3 linked regions of the Drosophila melanogaster genome follow. Changing the gene in region 1 together with any one later gene gives a genetic interaction. Each region holds a gene or a part of one and is shown in the gene's direction. Other genes may lie near its edges.

What was found. A genetic interaction does not mean that the proteins touch.
Region 2: of sog (region 1) and Col4a1, changing one suppresses a phenotype caused by changing the other (phenotypic suppression), as found in Drosophila melanogaster (one study listed by BioGRID).
Region 3: of sog (region 1) and cv-2, changing one suppresses a phenotype caused by changing the other (phenotypic suppression), as found in Drosophila melanogaster (2 studies listed by BioGRID).

The regions. Positions count from the first base shown.
Region 1 is NC_004354.4:15,629,441-15,637,262, reverse strand, and holds the start of sog (short gastrulation), read left to right. Parts: upstream 1-3,828; 5' UTR 3,829-4,454; intron 4,455-7,822. UniProt on the Drosophila melanogaster protein: Putative negative growth factor. Antagonist of dpp, a protein involved in patterning the dorsal region and in the development of the neuroectoderm; dpp inhibition is enhanced by tsg.
Region 2 is NT_033779.5:5,025,412-5,033,591, forward strand, and holds the start of Col4a1 (collagen type IV alpha 1), read left to right. Parts: upstream 1-4,197; 5' UTR 4,198-4,335; exon of another isoform or gene 4,336-4,399; intron 4,400-4,725; 5' UTR 4,726-4,806; coding exon 4,807-4,826; intron 4,827-5,330; coding exon 5,331-5,379; intron 5,380-5,443; coding exon 5,444-6,391; intron 6,392-6,466; coding exon 6,467-6,963; intron 6,964-7,088; coding exon 7,089-8,180. Other genes in the region: vkg (viking), read right to left, coding at 1,626-1,718. UniProt on the Drosophila melanogaster protein: Collagen type IV is specific for basement membranes.
Region 3 is NT_033778.4:21,375,482-21,383,363, reverse strand, and holds the start of cv-2 (crossveinless 2), read left to right. Parts: upstream 1-3,899; 5' UTR 3,900-4,859; intron 4,860-7,882.

The DNA.
Region 1 (7,822 bases):
AATATGTTCTTTGATATTTAATTAGGAGCAGACAAGAATTCAGCACAGTTTAGAAAGTATTTTCGTATTTTTTTTTGTCTTGCCCAATCATGTGTCAGATTTGGTTAAAAGTTTTTGGGAAACTACGTAAATCGAATATTTGGCAAAAACACAGAACTTGTTCCAACCAGAAATCACCTAGCAGATGGGGATTTTTGGTAATCCTAAAATAGGGACGGCTTCCTTTCGGTGGCTTAAGCTACCCTACTGTCCACACTGCGTATACGCCATGTCGTACTCGCACTCGCACTCGAATGTTGCGCATACGCCGCGTATGCCCGATTAGCGAACTAGTATTTAAAATACATAAATAATTGGCCAACAATTTGCGCTGTCTGCGCACACTGATTTCGTTGATTGGGCCATCCTCCTCCTACTCCTCTGCCTCCTTCTCAACCTCCTTCATCTCGTCCCGTCCCCGTTTTTCTAGTTTTGATTTTGGTTCTGGTTCGGCATTGTTTTGTTTTTTGCTTAATTTTTTGATTTTTTTTCTTTTTGTATTTGTTTTTAGCCCTGTTATCTCGACGATATATCTACGGTGGCCGGTGGTCGATGCTCGATGTTGTTCGAATGTTCGGTTTCTGGCTGAGATGCTCACTGTGCCGTCTGGCCGGCCGGCCAATGTGGCATTGTCTTAATTATCTGCGGATTTCGTACTCAGGCCGTGACTATCTATTGCCGCCGCCGTGGCTTGACTCATCGCCATCATCATCACCTCGATTCGCATCTAGCATCTAGTATCCTCCTCATCTTCGTCTGCATCCTCGTCCACACATATCCACATCCACATCGTCGTCATGCCCATTCCTCGTTCGCATTCCCATTACCAGTCTCATCATCATTGTCACACGGTAAGAATTTAGATGGTTTTGGAAATTGTGTCAATGGGCTTAAATGTAATTAGATGTTAAAACATCTGAAAATATAATAAAGTAAAAATATAAGATAAATTATAAACATTTTAAATAGCATTTTAGTTAACTCCATATTGAAATTAATATTAATCTTTGGCAATTATGAGTTAAGATAACGAAGCCGCTTTTATGGTTTCTTTTATAAAAGTTTTACCATTCAAGATGTGCTGTAATCCGAATTTGCCAAGAATTAGCCATTGTTTGTTATTAACTACTATTGTTTCTTTTTTTTTAGCTCATTTTGATGAAATGTTTGCCGTGCAGTGGAAAGAGCAGCGGCTACACAATCAACTTCTTCTATTCTTCTATTTTTCTCTGGCAAGATCACGCGCCTCTATGCGATCGCTGATAAAATTCTATTTTTTTTTAGCCCGTCTGTGTTTTTTTGTTCTTGTTATTTTTTCAACTTTTTTGCGGATTTATTGTGTTTATATTGTTTTTTTTTTTTGACAGCATTGCCGCCGAACTGTGGCCATAAACATTTGCATTCGCTTGGATTGCATTTATTTATTGAATTTGCATCATGTGCTGGGTTCAATTTATAGGTAGCTATATTCGCTATTTATATATATAAATGAAATATATATATATATATATATATGTATATCTGTTTATAAGGATAAGCCCCGCACGTGCCCCTGACTTTATGATCGCGTGCTGTTTGTTTGCCCGTCGCTCTTTGTTTGTTTCCTTTTCCGCCGGCTTGTTTGCTTACCTTGCCAACTTGTTTGCCCCCCTTTTGTATTGCCCCACCCCTCTTCCCCCACCTCCTATTGTGGCCCCCCTTGGACCAACGCCCATGCCAAAAGGCACTAATTGCCGCCGCATTTGCAGCTGATTTGGCGCTAAGCGAATGCGAGCTGCCAGGCAAATATTTATGGGGTCATTCCCGTCTCGTGTCAGCCGCTGGCCAAAAAGCCAAAACAACTAAAACAGCTTCAATATCAGCTAGCTAGTATGGCCCTGAAGATTCCAACCGAGTTGCTAATTTAGTAAATAACAAATTTGATAACAGTGCGAGCAACCTGGTTTATCTACTAATTGTTAGCCAAGCTAAGTGGCAGGGATTGGGCAAATTTTATTGCAAAAACTGATATAAAAAAGGTGAAGCCTTTTTGTCAATTAAATATGTCATTTGCTTTTTATATTTGCACATCTTATGGTGCCTGAAAATATTTTCATATGTAATTATTGAACATCTATTTCTTAGCAAGCTGAGGAGAATTATATCAGCAATGTCAAAATTATAATAATAATATTTTTACAGAGTATGCCAGTTTGTCTCGAAAGCTTGAAGTGCGATTTTGAATATATTCAGTACAATCAATTAGTAGCTTATGACACATTTTATATATATTATGAATATTTATAATATATTTATTTCTATTCAATGCACTTTTGTGCCAACGGAGCATTGCCCAATTTCCATCGAAATCGCAGCCATTTTCGAGCTTCTCGCCAATTTCCATCACGTTGCAGTCTCGATCGCTTCGAAATATATATGTAAGTTGGAAATTCAGAAACTCAGAAAAACAGAAATTCAAAAAGTCGGGACTGAGACTTTGACGTTCGATCGTGACAGAATATGAATTGAAAGGGAAACCAGATTGTTAGCACTCGACTATGGGTATAGAGATGGTAGAGGTACTGGGCATGTCCATAAGGTTGGATACCGTTGTGATAGTGTGTGTATTCATAGTTACACACATTATCGAGCCAGTGAAAATGTTCTACACAACTTTGCTATGCTAGTGACGACTATTTTTAGACGTCCAGCACCACAGCACTTTGTTGGCAAAAATGCAGTAACAAAAATAAATAACTTGGCCAACAGTTAGTTAGTTGTTGTTTGCCTCGCCCCGCCGCACTTTTTTTTTTTGATGGATCATCGCCGTCGTGACGTCAGCAAATGTTGTTTTGTTCGCTGCACCGAAGGCGCAAAAATATTCGGCATATTTGTGTTGATCTCTAGCCGTCAAGCGTCATGAAACGTAATGGATACAGCTCCTTCCGCCTGGCCACATCCACGGCATTGTGGGCTGTCCTAGGTTAGTTTTCACTGTACTCGAGTCGAGTGGGCGAGGCCAAACGCCTCACTAGCCGCCAATCCCGGGCACGATTGGGCTGCCAAGAAGCTTTTGGCTTCCATGGGAAGACAGCGAAAGCCTTTAAAATGCCAAGCTGCACTGGGAAAAAAAAAACAATGAAGTAATGTAATTGGTCATGAACGAAGCTTTTGTAAATATACGCATTAAGCGATTTCTTTAAAATATATATTTTTTTTTACTTATGTAATAAAACTATTTTAAACTGTTTTTTAAAGCTTATAAGTGAAAATAAGTTCCTAATTATTAGAAAACTCAAAAGTATTCATTATTCATTACTTTTTTATCCTGAAAAGTTGAAAAGGGTTTGCAAATAAAATGAATATGATGAGATATTATGATAAATCACCTTTAGTTTCTAATAAAGCTACCAAAAAAGCGTTCTAAAGATATCCCTCGGAACCAAATGTATCTGAAAGTCGTAATATCTTAGATCCTAACGTAATGCTCTTGGAAATGGCTTTCTGTGGCTACACATACACATACACATGGCTACACAGCGATTTGTCGCCGCCGTGGAGAGGAAAGAAGAGGAAAGGAGAGGAAGGGAGAGGAGAGTCCGCTTGGAGCTGTCTATGTCTATTTTGCGAAAGGGGGAGATGGTAAGGTGAGCGATGCCGGCGAGAGTGGGTGGCGACATTGGGAGCGGAGAGTGATGGCACCAGAGAGAGAGAGAGAGAGAGAGGGAGATCGAGTGAGAGAGCGAACCGCTATGTCTAGATCTAGGTCTATATGATTATATGCTGAAAACTTCAGTTTGTCAAAGATCGCGACGACCGAACGAACGACGCTAGAGAAACGCGCACCGAAATCGATGACCAATCCAAACGATAACGATTGCCAGCCCGCAGGAGTCATTTCGAAAATTGCGCGCGCGTTTTTGGCGACGTATTGCATATAAATCATATGTATATGTCCGCATATACATATAAACGAAACGAACATATAGAACATATATTTCCATATCTCGATATTCTATTTCATTGTTCATTGTTGCCCCTATTTTTTTTTTCTTGTGAAACGTATGTATGTGCGCGCGTCTGTGGAATGGTGCAATTACAGTCGTAGTTATTGGTTTTTAATGAACCTCTTAAATTGCCATTGAGGAACGTGAAAAGTGCCCGAAAGCCCGAAACGGAAATTATACTTTACACTCATGATTATTAGTTGTGGAAATTGCAGCTTAAATCGCCATTAATCGACACACACATATGGGCGTGGGTGAATCGTTAAATAGTACTCATAGTGATTGCACTGCTACACTGCGTTTCGGCATGTTAAGTCTGGCCGTTTTGAGAAGCAATAACTATTTAACCGAATTCTTCTATTGCCCTTTCAATAACTAAATAACACACAGCGACTTGGCAACGAAATGCTAGCTCTAGAACAGATGAAGGTAATGATAAGAGTGTCTCAACAAACAATACAATCCTGAAACGCACTGTACCTGCAACCTGAAAGCTCTTGCCCCTCTGGATTATAAGTCCGTCACTTTCGGTTTTAATGATCGCATTGAAATGGAATGTCATCGACCAATTTCAATTCTAATTCCATTCCGATTCCGATTCCGACCCAATATCGTCGAGATCGAGGCGACACACGCCCCAAAAACGAGACAATTACCCAGGAATGGGGCATGATTTCTTTTATTATTACTGTGTTTAGATCGAATCTGACGCCAAAAGGGCGACCTAAAAAAAAAAAAAAAAAAAAAACCAAGACAAGAAAAAACGTAATCACAAAGAATGGGAAAAATCAATCGAACATCGAACATTCGATGCGGACCAGTTGCAGAACGGCAAAGGGGGCAGATCGGTGGATAGCTGGGATAGATAGACAGATATATACATAGATATATAGATAGATAGATCGATCGATCGATCGGGCGATCGGGCGATCGGGCGGTCGGGCGAATGATGAAATTTCCAGAGCGTTTCAATAGCAACCGGCAACAGAAAGAAAAAGCAACACCGACCGACAACGAACCATTTACAATTCCAATCGAATGGCAATTGTTGCCGACTTGCAGCATGATTCAAATCGAGGGCGTGACAGAGGAAATGGGGCGGGGGGTAAATACCTAGATTACCGTACTCGATGACGCAGCCCAGGTATGTGTAGGTACTCTCGATCGCTTGAAAGTCGACAGATACTCGCAGTATCTAGCGACAGTGATGAAGAGTTTAACTGCGCTCGGAAAATCCATCATTATCATGCCGCTGATATGATAACCAACCATTGAAATGGCTAAGCAACAATCTGTTAGTAAGATTGTATGGTGTTTTATTTCGATCATTAAGCTAAACTAAAACTTCCATCACTTAGTTCAAACTTTAGCTTGTCTCACGAATCCCATTCCGTCCATCAATTGATCAAACAATCGATCGCCGGATCGTTTGAGTTTGTTTGATCGTTCGATGATCGCGACAACAAGAAGAAGACGACCAAAATTTAACGATGTTGGCCAGTTGGCTAACTGCGGTTTTACTGCCACTTTACGTGCTGCTGTTTTGTCTGGCAAACAAAACATTCGCACACACATGACACACACACGGCACACATGACGTATACGCGATATTTTTGGCCTGCTCTCGCACAGAAACAGAAAGACATAGTGCGAGTGCGAGTGGGACGGGTGGACTGGCGAAGGGAGAAAGAGCTACACGGAATCTCTGTTGCTAGGGTGGCAGTTTGTATGGGGGGTTAGTCAGCTTATAAATAATGGAATATCATCTAGGTGCTTTCTGAGTGCCGCAAACTATGGTGAACTTTCGTACGATGGAACCTCCGGAAAATTACTCAATCGAATCGCACACAAATTTCCCGGAAATCTTATATTTCATTTAATGCTTTTAAGATTTTTTTAAGAACTTTGAACTTAGTAGTTGGTCTCCTTTCAACCTATTCACTTTTAATTTGTCCACTGTTTCTAACTGATTCACACAGATGTCTCAAATGATTGGACCTTCTGGCTTCGATGACCATCAAATCAATTGCATGTGACTGCAGTGAAATAGTACTCAACCACACACGCATAAGTGCATATTTATGTAGTACACTTGAAGAAATTGCATTGAACAAATAATTACAAAAGGAAAAAATATTTTAGGCAGTACGATTTATGGAAAATGCAAATATTTCTAGATTGAAAAAAAAACTTACTTTTCAGCTGTTTTGGCTGTTTAAACTAATGAAACACACCAATATTGATCTTCAACGTCTCCGAACTGTTTTTCGAAATCAAGAAAAGAGAATTTTCTCTCAGTGTGCGCATACTTTCTGGCCTGTTATGCAGTCAAAAGCCGTCACTTTGCCGCTTCTGTTTCATTTGATGTCTTTCTGTGTGCGTTTGCCGTTCGCCATTTGCCATTTGCCATTTAAATGAATGCAGGCAATTTTGCGCTGGTGGCTGCTGTTTTTGCTGCTGTTGTGATTTGCTTTTGATTGGCATCTAATTTATGATTGACAGTTACATTAGAAACATCTCGGAACAGCAAACAATCAGAATCGGGCCTACCGCAAGATCTCGCCAAGGCATCGAAAAAGCATCGCCAGTTGAAGCATCGAAGAGCTGAGACCTTATGGTCGGATATCGACTTAGCTCACGGTTGTCAATCAAGCTATTAAATAATTTACAAACAAACAAACACACACGCGAACACACACATTACATACATATAAGCACACACACACAGCACGCACACATAGATGAGCAGCACACTGAGAATCGAATTTATGAACTAACATCTTGATTTACGTAGTCTTCGCTGGCTGAATGCGGTTTGAAGCTTTGACACCTTGACGGGCATTGTCAAAGAGTTTCACACTCAGCGGCACTCGCACACACCGGCTACTGTTCTATCGGATTACGCGGCGTATGCGCAATGTGGCCCGAACGAGAAGCGATCGAGTATCGAACTGCCAGTTAAGGCGGCAAGTGGAAAATGCAGTTTATCAGTTAGTCAGTAAGTCAGTCAGTCGCTTAGTCAGTTGGGCAGTTAGCCAGCTGGTCAGTTAGTCGCTAAGTCGGCTAGTCAGTCTGTCAGTTAGTCAGTTAGTCAGTTAGTTAGTTTGTCAGTTTGTCAGCCCCCACAGAACAAAGTTGTCTGCCCGATATAGGCCACAATGTGGGGCTGTAAACAAAACTTGAACACTCGACGGAGCACTGACATAACCGCTCTGCAATCGACTGATAAGAAACTACTATATAATGTATATAGATACATATTTATATATATACACATATATATATGGGCTTGCAATTGCCTGGTAGGTGGGTGCCGTAATATTAATTGCCAATGAACCGCGAATGGAAAGGGGGAAATGAATCTGTCAATGGAAATATTATTTTGATAATGAAGTAAGGATGGAGTATTTAATTATCAATTTTGGCCTTATTACTTAAATGTAGTATTAAATGTAATGCAGTAAATGTAAAGTAGAGAACCAAAAAGTTACTTTTAATAATTTTTTGGTGTTTTTATCTACACATTTTCTTTAATTTGGTTGCAAAGTCTTCCCAGTTAGTTCAACGTGACCTTCTGGCTCCCGCTTTTCTTTTTGGACCGTTCAAAGTACAACTTGGCCGGAAAACAATGAGAACACACACTTTTACCCAAAGGAAAATGCCCAACGAACATTTTCACTGGCATACAAAGTGTATTTTCCATCGCCTCGCTGAGTGCGCACAGATTGTTCAGATATACTGGGCGACTATATGGCAATATGGCTATATCTTTGCATGGACATACATAGATATAGATA
Region 2 (8,180 bases), on another chromosome or scaffold:
CACTCGGAATCCGGGAGTTAGGGTCCCAAGCCCATGGCATTGACCACGTAACCGAGTGCGAAAAGAGCTGTGGATCGGATTACCAAAGTCGTCAGACGAGCTGCACACTTATGATGGCAAACACGTGAGCGATGGGGCCAGATTTCCAGATCCCAACGAATTGAGTGCACGAATTGTGCATTGAGTTAACTGCTCAACTGGTATGAAAACTAAACTCTGATCTCTGGTAAAGGCAATAAAGTCAAGCCAAGCCGATAGCCTCTGCGACTGCTGGCGACACTTGTTTCAATTCTAAAGTGTATTTATTCTAAATTCGAGTCTAGAAAGCCATGTCGCAATCAGCGGAACATGCTATCAATGGCGTCAATGCCGCCAACATAGCAATAGGTCTAATTAAATGTGTGTAGATCAGTCGCAGCCTGATAAGACCAGCCGAATGCCATCAAAAAGTAGGTGCCGCCGGCATGTGCTCCATTTTTCATCCAGCATTACGAAATCTCTGTGATCCCTAGCCATTTAAATATTAATACTCAATTTAATTTGGTACATACACAAGGTACACTGAATTGGGCAACTCGGTGTTAAAAAGTAGTGCATAGTTTTTGGGGCAACATTGAGTATTGCGTTTGCCTCGCACTTTTGTGTCAAATCATTTTTGTGTTTGCTTAAAAAATCATTCATAAATAAATGAAATATTCGCAACCTCAATGGTTAATGTGTCTTATTTTGAATAATAATCTATTCAATTGGGGTAATAACTAAGAACCTGCGCATTCTTTGTTTTTCATACTCATTCCCGTTTCATTTTACAAATGATTATATGCCAATTAAGCGACTAATCTGGCGGTTATTAAATATAATTCTAATTGCCAGCCGGAAACGTTCAATGGCGAACCACAATTGGTATGCCAAAAAAGCAATGTCCTCCAAATTGAAAGATTAGGGGGGTTATCAATGGGCGTTATCGCCAACCTCTTCACCTACAAAATTATGTTGCCAAAATTATTTAATGACATAATCGATCCCAAGCTGGACTTGGACTTCATTGAACCCCCGGAATCGGGAACGAGCTGAAAGGAATTATCTGTCGAAGCCAAAGAGTTGCAACTACGCGATGTTTTCATGCCGGAAGTGTGAATAAATCAGAGAGTGCAGTGCTGCAGAATAACAATAACAATAGCAGCGGTGATTAAGAGTCGAGCTCCGAGCTGACCCAATTTTACATAGTTGTTTATGGTTGATACTATGTAAATGCGAAATCAATGACTACGGATACAGTTTGGAGAGCATTGGTGGACATGATAATTTTCTTTCAAAGTTAATTAAGAATATTATTGTTATAAGCTTCAAGTAACTTAAAAATGCTGCGTTAATGAAATAGGCATATACAGTTTGACAAGCACTTTGGTTAGTATTTAGCAATCTCATAAAATTCAAACGGTTATGGTCTGAGAAGCACTTTAAATAGTAAGAGCCTTATTTTAAATATCATTTCCTAAGTTGTTTTAAGACATAAAAAAAAGTTGAAAAAAGTTATTGCACTACAATCTATACATTTCTCAATCCAAGTCTTTAAAGAGCTGTCAATTTTTGGATATTATACTAAGCATTTCGATTGCACTTACCTTTCCATCCGCCAAGGTAACGGAAACCAGGCTGCCCAACAGATAAACGACGCCCAGAAGACCCGAGAGATGCCTTAGATCTCTGGGTAACATCCTCGCTGGGTCCTTTGGTCCTATCCGCAACGTATTTATGTCGCACTCTATCTAATTGCCTCTGTCTCTCCCCGCTTAAAACACACACGAAACTGCCAACGAAATAAGCATAAAATTAGAAATTGAAGAATTTTCGATTCTTATAAAATGCCCTCAAATAAAACCGACATTAGCAAATCAAGTATTAAAGAGTTGACGATCGGAAAAGTGTGGGAAACTAACAGAAAACGCTGATTTGCTGCTGCTGCGATCGTCGGGCACAGCACTCTCCCCACATGTGGAGATCGTCTAGCGTTCGAAGTATTACTAAACACGAGTCCCGCTAAAGAAATTCGAATTCTTCGCCCGCACACTCGGCACGCTCGGCTCCACTCGTAAAAGTTCGGCCGTTCGCGATCGGCTCTCGGCCCACCAATACTATCGCAAGTGGAAGTTGCAGCAGTGTGAGTGTAGTAGGCACAGGCCAGGGACAGGCCCGGATGGATGTTTTGGATGGAGATTTGGATGGAGGTTTGGATGTAGATGTGACTCCGGGCTCTGGTTATGGTTCGGAATTTAGCACTTTGACGCCTTGAAACGAGGAAATGAGGAGCAGAGCCCTCTAACCAAATCAAAGCGGCCCGATTCTAAGCATACAAATTCTATTTCCCATTTTGGTACCGTATCCCTGAAGGGGTATGATCAATCAGATTCTCACTTTGTTCTTTTTATTAGGCACGTCTCTTGGGAAAATACAAATTATTAAATAATTTATTAATTAATGTTACTATTACTAACTATTACTAACAGGCACATACCATTTATACATAATAACCATCCGCATATAACTTAAATGATAGTTCCAACTAGCGACACACGATATTTCTTGCGGGGTAAAAGCTATTCTAATACTCAATCCCAGCTATCCTAGTGATTTCAATACAATTAGATGCTAGTTTGTTTGTCGCGCTTCTCGTGATTAGGTTAAGGCTTTTTCATTTAGTACTTACATATATGGCATATGTGAGGCTGATAAGACGGATATGGCTGAGTATTTCCTGTTAGAACGAACTACTGATCAACTGAAAACCGAACATGAGTTTTAAGCTCCAATAAGTCCGACGCAGAAAAGCCAAATGGGAACCTTTCGAAATTCGAGCCTGATTTTGGGTTTCGGGGCCACAGTGTTTTGAAATAAGTCTTGATAGGGCGGCTATAATCAAGGCCTCGTTCTAGTTGGGAAAGCTCTTTTGTTCTAGGGTACGTGCAAGTCGGATATGGCCCAGTGGCCTGAATATATGTCTTCTCAGGAAACTGCTGTGATTAGGATATTAAATGATGTCGCACTTCGGCAACTTAAAATCTTATTAATTTATGTTTAGAGCGGTATTAGTAAGTATTATGTCGTACTTACTATCAAAATGAATGGATCTCAATAATTATTATTAATTAAATAACAATAATTATTTTAAGTATGTATAAAACTTGGCACTTAAAATGAAATTTCATTTAAGATACATTTAGTTTTAATAAAGCGTAGATAGATACAAAAAAAATCGAAAAAAGACCATTCTTTGAAACAATAATTGCATCGACATACTAAAATCAATCAAACTAAAATATTTTGTTTTAGAAAAGAATGGAATGATTTGAATAATCAGTTATATATAGCAAATAAAAATATACCAAGTAAAGCTTAAAAAGAGATTTAATCTTCAAAACCTTTGTCAAATTAATTATATCAGTTTTGAAAGCTAGAGAATATTTTTAAAACTTAGAAAAGGACTATAATCCTATTAAAAGTAAAGTATATGCCAATAAAATGTTTACACATGTTTTTGTTATCCTTTAAGTTTTAGATATTTTTATCATACTTATTGTAAGTACACACAAAATTTTGATGAGGTTATAATTAGAACATTGGCCTGATAGCGAAGCCTTCGGAATTTCCCTTGCCCGAGCACCGAAAAAAGTCCAAAAAGCAGGAGCCGCAGGGGCGGACCAAAACGGAAGCCATGTGCCCGATCTCAGGGCGGGGGCTATCAGCTAATTTTGAGATGGGAGCTGGTAGCTGCGATCTGGAAGCTGGGATCTGGGAGCCGGAGAGCTGGTTGAAGGTGCTCCCGGGGAGGTGCTCCGGCGGAACGAAGCTGATGTGCTATTGAGCAACTTAAGTCGCATGTGGCATATCAACAGCAGCGACGGACTTATCGCCAAGTTTCATTCATTCCGCAGCGACTATGTTAACTTGTGGGATTAGTGTTGCTACATACGACGACCCGTCGCCCATCCGTTCTATATGCCATGGTGCCACCACCCACCTCCCACCAGCCACCTCGCAGCCATCGCAACCGATCCGATGCCCATCCAATCCCCGTCGAATCACACGGATAGTGTACATGAGCCGTAGACCCGATCGTCGAGATCGTGCCAAGCCGAACGATCGACGAGTGAAGATCGGGGCATCGGCGTTTGGCTTTTGGATCGCTCGAACTTATACTATAATTAGTCGTGTTCCGTCTCCCCGAGTAAGTAGTAGTCTGGTCTCGGTCCGGAGCTGATCTGGCCAGCTGGTTTTAGTCTTTAGTCAGCGCTGTGGAGTGGTGATCGGTTCGGATCGGATCGCTCGGTTGTGAATGTGTGTTTCCATTAGGGTCCCGTCCCGTCCCGTCCAACCGTCCCTTAAATAGGATTTGATTCCTGTAAGGAACTGAGCTTTTACAACAACAAAATAATATAAACATAAAATATCTTAATTAAATCAGGAAGAACGCGTACTATTAATTGAAAATATCCAGCAAGTCGTTGTGCGAGTCTCGTACCAGTTCCAGTGCCTCTCAAACTGTCGCGTGTATATGCTTGGAAATGAAATGAAACGAAATACAAGAATTAAATCGTTGAAAAAAAATAAGCCAGCTCGATTTTCCCACAAATATTAAATAAAATAATATTCCTCTAAGAATATTTCCAATTTATTTTGCAACTGTTGCGAAATTAAAGTGCCCAATTCTCTGGCTCATCTTTCCAGGCCCAGCGACGGCAACATATAAACTTCAAATTCGACGAGGACAGAGCAAATAATTGTGCAGGCTTAAGTGCATAGGGCATCATGTTGCCCTTCTGGAAGCGGTAAGAAAAATGACAAAAGTTAGAAAAATAATACAAATGGTTGCAAAAATTTAAGTTAATCAAAGAAAGCAATTGTTAATTATTAAAAACCATGACAATAATACTTACTTAACAACTAATAATACTCTATTTAAAAATTTAAAATTTTTTTGAAATTTTTAATGATTAAAACCCAGTTATGGCCTAAAAAAGTATTGCCAATTTTTTTCTTTCTAATCCATTCAGAAAGAGCAAATATTAGTTTTTAAATTAATATTTTAGATATCAGCAATACAAAAATACATAATTTAAAACATCACATTTGTTCAATTTTTTTTTAATTTTTCGAAGCGCGATCTCTTAAAAACTTGTAAGCTCTCTCTTAAGCGCCTTTAGCAAACTCTCTTGAATTGACGGCTTAAGAGAGAGCTGCCAATCGAAGAGAGCTATGTCCAATTAAATAGCTAGACTGATAAGACGAAGCACAGTTCCTAACCCTCCTGATCTTCGTCGACTTCTTTGCAGGCTGCTATACGCCGCTGTGATCGCGGGAGCGTTAGTCGGTGCCGACGCTGTAAGATAACCGTAGCCCATGCCATCCATCTGGACATTGAATAATATACTCCTTTTCCCCGCAGCAATTTTGGAAGACGGCTGGTACGGCCGGTTCGATTCAGGACTCCGTGAAACACTACAATCGAAATGAACCCAAGTTCCCAATCGACGACAGTTACGACATTGTAGACTCTGCCGGCGTGGCGCGCGGCGATCTGCCGCCCAAGAATTGTACGGCCGGATATGCGGGCTGTGTGCCCAAGTGCATAGCGGAGAAGGGCAACCGTGGTCTGCCGGGCCCTCTTGGACCCACGGGATTGAAGGGCGAAATGGGTTTCCCTGGCATGGAGGGACCATCTGGTGACAAGGGTCAGAAGGGTGATCCCGGCCCATACGGACAGCGTGGTGATAAGGGTGAGCGCGGATCGCCTGGTCTTCATGGTCAGGCTGGTGTACCCGGAGTCCAGGGACCCGCCGGCAATCCCGGAGCCCCTGGTATCAACGGTAAAGACGGTTGCGACGGACAGGATGGTATTCCTGGCTTGGAGGGTCTATCCGGAATGCCCGGACCTCGCGGATATGCCGGCCAGCTTGGCAGCAAGGGCGAGAAGGGTGAACCGGCAAAGGAGAACGGTGATTACGCGAAGGGCGAGAAGGGTGAGCCCGGTTGGAGGGGGACTGCCGGTTTGGCTGGACCACAAGGATTTCCTGGAGAAAAGGGCGAGCGCGGCGACAGTGGACCTTACGGAGCCAAAGGACCCCGGGGTGAGCACGGTCTGAAGGGAGAGAAGGGTGCCTCCTGCTACGGACCCATGAAGCCTGGTGCACCGGGTATCAAGGGCGAGAAGGGTGAGCCCGCGTCCTCGTTTCCCGTCAAACCGACCCACACGGTGATGGGACCTCGCGGCGATATGGGACAGAAGGGAGAGCCTGGCCTAGTTGGCCGCAAGGGTGAGCCCGGACCTGAAGGCGACACTGGACTCGATGGACAGAAGGGCGAGAAGGGTCTGCCCGGCGGCCCAGGCGATCGCGTAAGTCGAGTTCATACTTAAGGCTCCAAATCGAAGTGGAAGTTGAAACCTCTATAATGAAATATATACGTACAGGGTCGCCAAGGTAACTTTGGACCCCCAGGATCTACAGGACAAAAGGGAGATCGTGGCGAGCCGGGCCTTAATGGTCTGCCCGGTAATCCCGGACAGAAGGGTGAGCCAGGACGTGCTGGAGCGACAGGTAAGCCTGGTCTGCTCGGTCCTCCGGGACCGCCAGGCGGTGGCCGTGGAACACCAGGACCCCCGGGACCCAAAGGACCCCGCGGCTATGTTGGCGCACCTGGACCCCAGGGATTAAACGGAGTTGATGGACTACCGGGTCCTCAGGGATACAATGGACAAAAGGGAGGTGCTGGTCTGCCCGGTCGCCCCGGCAACGAGGGACCTCCTGGCAAAAAGGGAGAAAAGGGAACCGCAGGACTTAATGGACCAAAGGGATCCATCGGACCCATTGGACACCCAGGACCACCGGGACCAGAGGGACAGAAGGGTGACGCCGGTTTGCCCGGTTATGGCATTCAAGGATCTAAGGGAGATGCTGGCATACCTGGGTAAGTGCAATGATTCATTTAATAGTCCTAGCACTCAGTCGAGTCCCACTGTGGAGCCGAGTCCTGTTCTTACTTTCCTTCATTAAAGATCTTATTTAATTCGAATTAATTTTCGTTCGTCCTAGTTATCCCGGACTAAAGGGTAGCAAGGGAGAGCGCGGCTTCAAGGGCAATGCTGGTGCTCCCGGTGACTCCAAGCTGGGTCGTCCTGGAACTCCCGGTGCCGCTGGTGCTCCTGGACAAAAGGGAGACGCTGGTCGTCCCGGCACTCCTGGCCAAAAGGGAGACATGGGTATCAAGGGTGACGTCGGCGGCAAATGCTCATCGTGCAGGGCCGGACCAAAGGGTGATAAGGGAACGAGCGGACTGCCTGGAATTCCCGGAAAGGATGGCGCACGAGGACCGCCTGGAGAGCGCGGATATCCCGGAGAGCGTGGACACGATGGAATCAACGGACAAACTGGACCGCCTGGTGAGAAGGGAGAGGACGGTCGCACTGGTCTTCCCGGAGCAACTGGAGAGCCTGGCAAACCTGCTCTGTGCGATTTGAGTTTGATTGAGCCATTGAAGGGTGACAAGGGTTACCCTGGTGCGCCAGGTGCAAAGGGCGTGCAAGGATTCAAGGGAGCAGAAGGTCTGCCTGGTATCCCTGGACCCAAAGGAGAATTCGGTTTCAAGGGTGAGAAGGGTTTGAGCGGAGCACCCGGCAACGACGGAACACCCGGACGCGCTGGGCGGGACGGATACCCCGGAATTCCCGGTCAATCCATCAAGGGCGAGCCAGGCTTCCATGGAAGGGACGGAGCAAAGGGCGACAAGGGATCATTTGGCCGAAGCGGCGAGAAGGGAGAGCCCGGTAGCTGTGCGCTTGACGAAATTAAGATGCCCGCCAAGGGTAACAAGGGTGAGCCCGGCCAAACCGGCATGCCAGGACCTCCGGGAGAAGACGGCAGCCCGGGAGAGAGGGGCTATACCGGATTGAAGGGCAACACTGGACCACAGGGACCTCCTGGCGTTGAAGGACCCCGCGGCTTGAATGGACCTCGCGGTGAAAAGGGCAACCAGGGCGCTGTCGGAGTACCTGGTAATCCTGGCAAGGACGGCCTTCGCGGCATTCCCGGACGCAATGGACAGCCTGGACCGAGGGGAGAGCCTGGTATTTCGAGACCCGGCCCTATGGGCCCACCCGGTCTCAATGGTCTGCAAGGTGAGAAGGG
Region 3 (7,882 bases), on another chromosome or scaffold:
CCACCCTTCCTTTGCGTAGCCTAAGTTGCATTGTTTAGACTTAGTTACCAATGTACATGGTCCCTCATACAATTCTACATCTATGTACTTGTATAGGCCGCATAGACAAATTGTTTGCCAATATAACTAACGATTTTAATTAGTCTGTCGTGTATGCCGTGTATATGTATGTATATGTATCTTCCGTGGAATTCCCTCTTTCAGCTCGCGGACGAACAATCGCACTTCTTGGCAAATATAATTGGCCCACTTGTACTTTGAACTCGCGAACATTTTCGGCGTGACAGAGATTGGTCAACAAGAGAACAAAACGGAGAAGCCACAGTGCCGGCGACATCCCGCCTTGTTGACGTTGTTGACTCACCGGCGAAACGCCCAGACACCAGAGCAGCACATCATCAACGGAGAACGATTACGCACAAACTGGGCTATTGCAGAGGCGACGGTGGCGGCGGATGATCTTTTCTGTTCGGAAAACATTTGCTCTTCTGGCCCTTTCATCCGATTGGCATTTCCGAATTTATCAGCGGCGACGCATCAGCCGGCAAGTTGTTCGATTTTAATTGCATGGCCGTGGTCGCTTGTAATTCGATGCGTTTTAATTAGGCTCTCAATTAAGATCAAGTTTGGTTTTTATCTTGAAATGGGTGAGTGTTGCGAATAGCATGCAAATGGGATGATTGGCCAGCAAATGCTTTAAGGTTTGTTTTTCAGCTCTACACGAGTTCATTTGAATATATGTTCATTGCAGTAATTCACCTCAGGCTTTTTATAAACGTACAATATATCGTTAAATCGGCATTTAAAACTATTCTTAGTCCCTTTTCAATTCTTCTCAAACTGCTTGCCAACAGTTTTAGAGCCACTCCCCTGAAACTGTACGCATATTGGGTATTGTTGCACGTTGTCCCAGGCAACGGTAAGTAATACTACGAAATGGCCACGCCCCCTTGGCCAGCCCTTTCGAATTGGCAATGCACTGACCCCGGCCACGCCCACCGCCCACATTATTGTTATATAGATAAATGGACATGTGCAAAAGAGCTTTTCAATTAGCCCGGCCAGAAGCCAGAAGAAGTTGACAATGTGTTGTTGATACTCGTATGTCGCAGTGGATACACTGGATACACCTAATTACAGTGTTAATGTCGTGCCGCCTGTGTAAACATTCCGGGGTGGTGGGGGGTGTCGTTCTGGAATGGGACAAGGAGGGCCATCACAGAGAGGAAAAAAATTAATTCACTTTGAATGAAGATTTAAAATCTATTCATATCTATGAAGTATAATAATTTACCCAATTATTTTCTAAATAATTTTTAATTAGAATTTAAGGACTACAAAAATTGGCCTTCTATTTAATGTGTTGTATATTATTTTTGCATTGTAATTATTCTTTTCATTGGGAGTGTACAATATATTTTTGAAGTGGAGGCACTTGATCTTTGTCCGCAGTTATCTCCCTGCAATTTGCTCCTTGAAGCCACTTTTCCAATTCTGTGGACCCGATATGTATGTTTGTACATATGTATGTAGGTATCGCTTTCCATGGGGCAAATGAACTCTGCGCCATTAGGGAAATTTGAGCAGCTTGTTTGTGAGCAGGCTGTTGGTTTTCGATGTGCGCGTGATAACTTTATGGAAAATGCCCAGATCGACCAGATCCCCCATAGATTGTTGACTCTTTGACTGGGTGCAAACTATTTCACAACTTCGGTCGAGCTTGGGCTATTGGAATTGGGATTATTCTCACCTGACGCTCATCCCGAAATAGCCAGCACAACAGCGACCGAGTCACTTATTGGCCAATTGCAAATATTTACCAGTATCAAAATAGCATCGATTCGCTGCGCAAACTGCTTCGCAATCGTATATATATAGCATATAGGCTGTGGATAATCGCACCAAATGTGGGGGGTGGTTTTGGGGCTGGAGACGCTCGACGGCTTGCCTATTTGCTTAGGGCTTAGAAGCTCAACGCTTAATTACGCTCAAGTGGCGTGGAAAATTGTGGGGCGGGATTCTCAGATTTCCAACCACCGCCCACTGCCCACCGCCCACCGTCTACCTCCCCATCCACCCAAACACTAAGCAATTCGACCCGATGACGTTTATGCCAAATTGCTTTGCACTTTGTTTGCAATGCGGGGGGAACCTATGCAAATAGCAAACGGCATTTAATGAAACGCAATTATTTAATTTTACAGACTGCGTCACGGTTCCCACCTGGCTGCATATTGCACCGTTCGCCTCATAAATAATGACTAGGCAACCTCCAGTGACAAAATCCATGGCCTGGGAAACTCCATCTCTATCTCCAAATCCAAAGCTGAAACCAAGAGCATAAGCAAAGCTGAAACCGAAGCATAATCCAAACCGAGCTTCGTTCGTGATAACTGCAATTTTCCAGCCACAACTACAGATACAATGAGTGCATAAATCATCTCCAGCTCAGCTGCAACTCCGTGGCATTTTCCTAGCGTGCCGCGGCAGCTTTTCCAAAAAAACAAAAAAGAAAAACATGCAAAAAAAGGCCATCGCATAAATGTCAAATGGCTGGCAGTTTGATTTGGCTGCGGGTTAAGTGTGAATTATCCCAGGGTCTCGAAAACTCGCCACCATTTGTACCACCGTCTCTGTCTCATCATCTGCCAAATGCATTTAAGAGCTTTAAGTGCTATTATCGCATTCGAGACAAATACCATAAGACACAATTCGGATTGCAGTCACGTCGGCTTTGGGGATCATAATGAATGGATTCATTCATTCATTGTGGGAAAGAACTGCTGCTTACGATTTATAGTGCAACTAAAACTAAAGAGCTCCCAGGTAACTTAGCTAGAACTTAGCCCACGCCTTTGGTTAGTTTAGTTAGCTTAAAAAATTTTTATTACTTGCAATGATTCATTGCTATTGGTATGGATTGTGAAATTCCTTGTCATTTATAGCACCTTATTTTCAAGTTTACACTATCATATGTACATGCCATTCTGGTGATAATTTCACCTGACTGCAAAGTCATTCAATTCCACCTGACACACACTGATCTAATCAGCAGGCTTTTGAACTTCAATTCATTCATGGTTCGAGTGGAAAGCAATCGAATTGATACTACGGCCGAATAATGCCTTTATCAGACGGGAAAATACCTCCGTGAACTATCAAAACAAAGAAGTCGAGGCAGACAGCGCGGAATGCCAGTTGACAAATTCTAATTGGCAAAAGTTCCCGGAATTGAATCGAAACGAATCGCATTGAATTGATTTGCCTACCATGCGACTACTAAGGTGTGTTGATTTCCCACCCAATGCGCAGGGGGGGGGGGGGGTCGCTTCTCATGTTCGCCCTGTTAACACTTTGCCATCGTCGAGGTGTTCATTTCGCTTAGGAATGTGTGAATGTAGATTGAAATTCGATTTCAATTGCAATTCGTGAAGAGTGCGCCTTTGAAGTCGGCAGCCCTGAAATTTGGGTACAGTTGGATATGAATATCTTAACATCTCAAACATGTTACGACATGTTTAATTTAGTAGACATTGACTGTTAACTTTTTAGGGCTATACTATCTCTATAAAATCTAGATTATCTCAAAATTATCGTAGACAATGAAATATTATAAACATATTTTACTAGTATTTTGTTTTTAAGGAATCACTATAAGCATAACAATTAGTTCAAAACTTTAGAAGGCAACTAGCGTTTGTACAACAACACCAGAAAAGTCCCCTTATCGCTAAAAAATCGCAGCAAAGTGCGAGCCCCCAAAAACGAGGCCCCAATCCTCTGCTGCTGCGCTGCTTCGCCTTCGGCTCGGCTCGGCTCGGCGACACCGACACGAAGGCCAGCCCGAACGCAGACGAGCGTTTTCTCAGTGTTCTCAGCGTTTTTTCCGCTTGCAGTGCTCAGTTCAACTTTAGCTGCGCACGCGAGCGGTGCGGTTTTCCAGAAGCGCTCGAGAGTGGCTCGAAATTGTAAATTGCTGGCCAGGAAAATCTATCAGCCGTAAAAGGGGAAAACTCGCGCGCGATTTTCACGTTCGCCGATTCACACGAGACAACGATCGCTGGTGGAGCGTAATTACTATAAAATACGTAGTCCGAACGCAATTCAAATAGAAAACAACATAAACGAATTTGAAGTTTGTTATCAACGCGACTGAATCTTAATGCGGGGCTTAGCTTGAATTTCTGATATTCAGACTTGTGCGATTTTCTGTTTTTCTGATTTTCTGCGTGCGCTAATGCGTCGTTTTCCACTAACACTGGCTAGCAGCGTTTTCCAGTGGGTCCGGCGAATTGGCGCGCAATTTCATTGAATTGCATTGAATTGAATGCTTATTGCAATTGCGGCACGGCGCGAAATTGAACCTTTGACAGCGTCGACGGACAAGCGCGCACACAACGTGGCGTATGCGTAATCTGTGGCAAGCGAATCGAAGTACTCGCAATCAAATTGAAATTGAAATGCAAATGTAAATCGAAATGGAAATGGGAATTGAAATGAAAGGCGCGCGCCGGCTCAAATAAATTATGCGCCAGTGAGTTCTAAGTGCTTCGTCTCTTTCCAAACGCGGTGTGGCCTCTCTTTTTCGCGTAGAAATACATACATACGTAAAAAATAATACAAATAAAAAATAGACCCAAGCCCAGGCAATTGAAAATGCGATTTATATCGGTTCGAGTGGCAGCAACAACAGCAACAACTAGACGACAACAATAACAGCAAGAACAAGAGGCGAACTGATGATCGCTGGCAACATGTCAAGCATAATTAATTTTCGATTCCGCCGATTTCTTGCCACCAGCAGCAGCAGCAGCAGCAGTAGAAGCACCTCATCTGGAAATCTGGAAGTGTAATTACGGGTAAACTTTGCGTCTTTACTTTTTCCTTTGTAATTAATCTTTGCCTCTCCCTGATTCCGCGATTCCCCGATTCCCTGATCCGGAGATTCCCCGATTCTTTGTTGCTATAATGCCAAGTGCGATTTTGTTTTATTATAATGCGAAACATATAAACATTTCACTTATCTGTGTGTATCTGCGAACGTGTGTGCTATCTGCCTTTGTTGTTTCAACATTTTGCGAAAATTGTTTAATTGTTTGGTTTCTATTATCACATTTGGCACTCGCTCTCGCCTCTCTCTCTTGATTTCCTTCGAATTGATTACTGCCAAGCATTAAAAGTTGTAAATTCGAAATCAAAAGCCGATCAAATTGCGAATAAGCAAACATATGTTTGAGTGTCCGGGCCAGCATTTAATTGAGAACATTTGCATAGCATTTTGTAAAGGCGGAAATCATAGTTGGCTTTAATTGCCCGACAGCCATTTGGTTTGGGCTTAATAAATCCAATTCGAAAACCATTGAGGCGTTCTAAGTGAGCATTTCGAGTGTGTAGAACGACTTTAAGCCGCTTAACAGCTACCAACTAAGTGAGCGATTAAACAAAGTGCCGCAGATCGGGTGCATGAGCACAAAACACCTTATCTATTGCCGGGCATGAGTCAGCGGTGATACATATTGTTTAACCAATTAGTAACGATGTGTCAAATATCACCAGGTGATATATAGATATATAAGCTGGCCAACTGTCAGGCTGCAAAGATGATAAATCACTGCAGCAGCTGCTGCTGCAACTGCAACTGCAGCTGAAACTTCAATTGCAGCGAGAATTGTCACTAAGCTAATCGCAGGCCATTTCCTGTATTACCCTCATCGAGCCATAAAAAGTGTCATCGCTTGGTGGACGGGGCCACAAATAGGAAATACAATAAACTGGCTCATTAGGAGGACAGTCTGGCAGAAGGACACCAAAACAAATTACGACTGCTGGGGCAATGGAGACACAAACCGAAACGCAAACATAAGAGCCAATAAAGTATGCACGGAAAGAAATATTATTTAAGCATTTTCAATGCATCCAAGTACTTCTGTTCAAATTTATATCTGTTTTATCAAATGTATTACCATTGTTTCGTATTTTGAATACAACATACTGTATCTTTGATTGCTAATATCTTGCTAGTTTTAACGTATTTTCTTTCGTCACATTCTTCATTTATCTCTGTGTAAATAACACTGGTAATAACTGCTCTTTGCAGGGGGGACTGCAATTGGGATTGGGATACGTTTGGGGGCGGGGCAGGTAGTAAGCCAAAGCTACATGGGTTAATACGAATGTGCGCCGGTATGTCCATGAAACGTCCATAGAACAGACGTCTGACTAGCAGTTCGCGTACTGGGCTAAACTGGCGACACACCAGCCCATGGATGACAGTCCCCATTCCTATTCCCATTCCCATTCGGCGTCCCCAAGCCTCCCATCCTTGAGCTATCCAAACCAATCCCCTATCCTCCGATCCCTGACTTGCAGTGGCAGAGACAAACGGACGGACTTTCCCGTACTGCCTAGGTGTCGCTTTTTGTTGTTGTTTCTGTTCGCTTTATAATAAAAATGCAACCATACCAGTTTTGCCAACTGACAACTGGCATACACAGGCGGCGGGGCCAACTCGTTTGCCCCTTCTGTCCACCGACCAACATCAACATCAACAATAACAACTGCAACTACAACTACGAACTGCATGTGAATTTGGTTTAAAAAAAAAACTATGTGTTTATACCCTTGGATCAAGGGTAATTGAAGTGGATGATGTTGTTTGCTTAGCACGAGTTGGGGAACTCTTGAATGAAGATGGGCAGAAAGTAGTTTTTACAAGTTTTGAAGTTAGAAAGTCCTTTGGATGGAGTGAATCTTTTGGGGTTGAGAAAGGCATGATAACTAACTTACTAACTCTAGTAACTTGCCCACAGAAAAGCGAAACTTAAAATGATTTATTTTCCAATTTAATTTGATCTGCGTTATCTTAGATCCTTTAAGTAATACATGTATTCAGATTCTAAAGGACTTAGAAGAGCGTGCTTTCCAGGGTACTCCCTGTTCGGATACGTTAGGGTACGATTCGGGTTGCGACTCTTTCTCGCTCCCGCTGGCCACGTTCACGCACCTGTCCAAGCACAGCAGAGCCAGGCGGTCTGCGATCCCCGATCTGCGGTCCACAATCTTGGGGGGATTCGGTTCTGCTCCACACACGGGACTCTCGAGGCGAGCGATCTGCAATCCGCACGCTCACCTGGAGAGGTGAGCAGCCAGTGCAACTGGTGTCTTTGCAGGTGTTTTTGTTTGTTTGTTTGCTGCACTTGATTATGCTGTCGAGGGGGTGAAGGGGGGGGGACTGCGGTCTGCAACACTGCCTGCATAATAATAATCCACCAATTAAAATATGATCGCATAATAACTCGACACTCGCGCGTCTGCTTATGATTTATGGTGCAGCTGGTTCGGCCAGCGACTTTTAACTTATTTATAGAGATGGTCCAGCTATAGAGAACCCATTTCCCATTCCCCAATCCCCGCTCTCCGCTCCCGATTCCCGTTCTACGAAGAATTCTTCTAGTGGGGTAATTGTGTGCGGCTGCGACTACTTTTTCCGCCGCTTGTTCTTCGGCTCTCCGCATACTTTTGCATTCGCTTAAAGGTAAATTGCTGTCGCCAAGCGCCAGACGATATAGGAGACACCCCTCGCCACCCATGTATGCCCCCCTCCCCTCCTCCTCCTGCCCGCTCCGAAGCCCCTGATTCAAAAACCCCCTTTTTTAAACAAGCCGGCTTGGCTCGTTTCGTTTTGGCAAAACCCAAAACAGAAGACCAAAGAGCGAGCGAAAAAAAGAAGACTGAGAAGCAAAAAGCAAAACATTTGATACGACCGAATCTCCTCCGTACCCCCCTCTAGCGCCAAATGCCCCCCCCCGAACGTCGCGCCTTGTGACACCGCCTGTCCGACTGTTGCTTCTAATAAATAATTTTAAATGCTGACTACAAAACG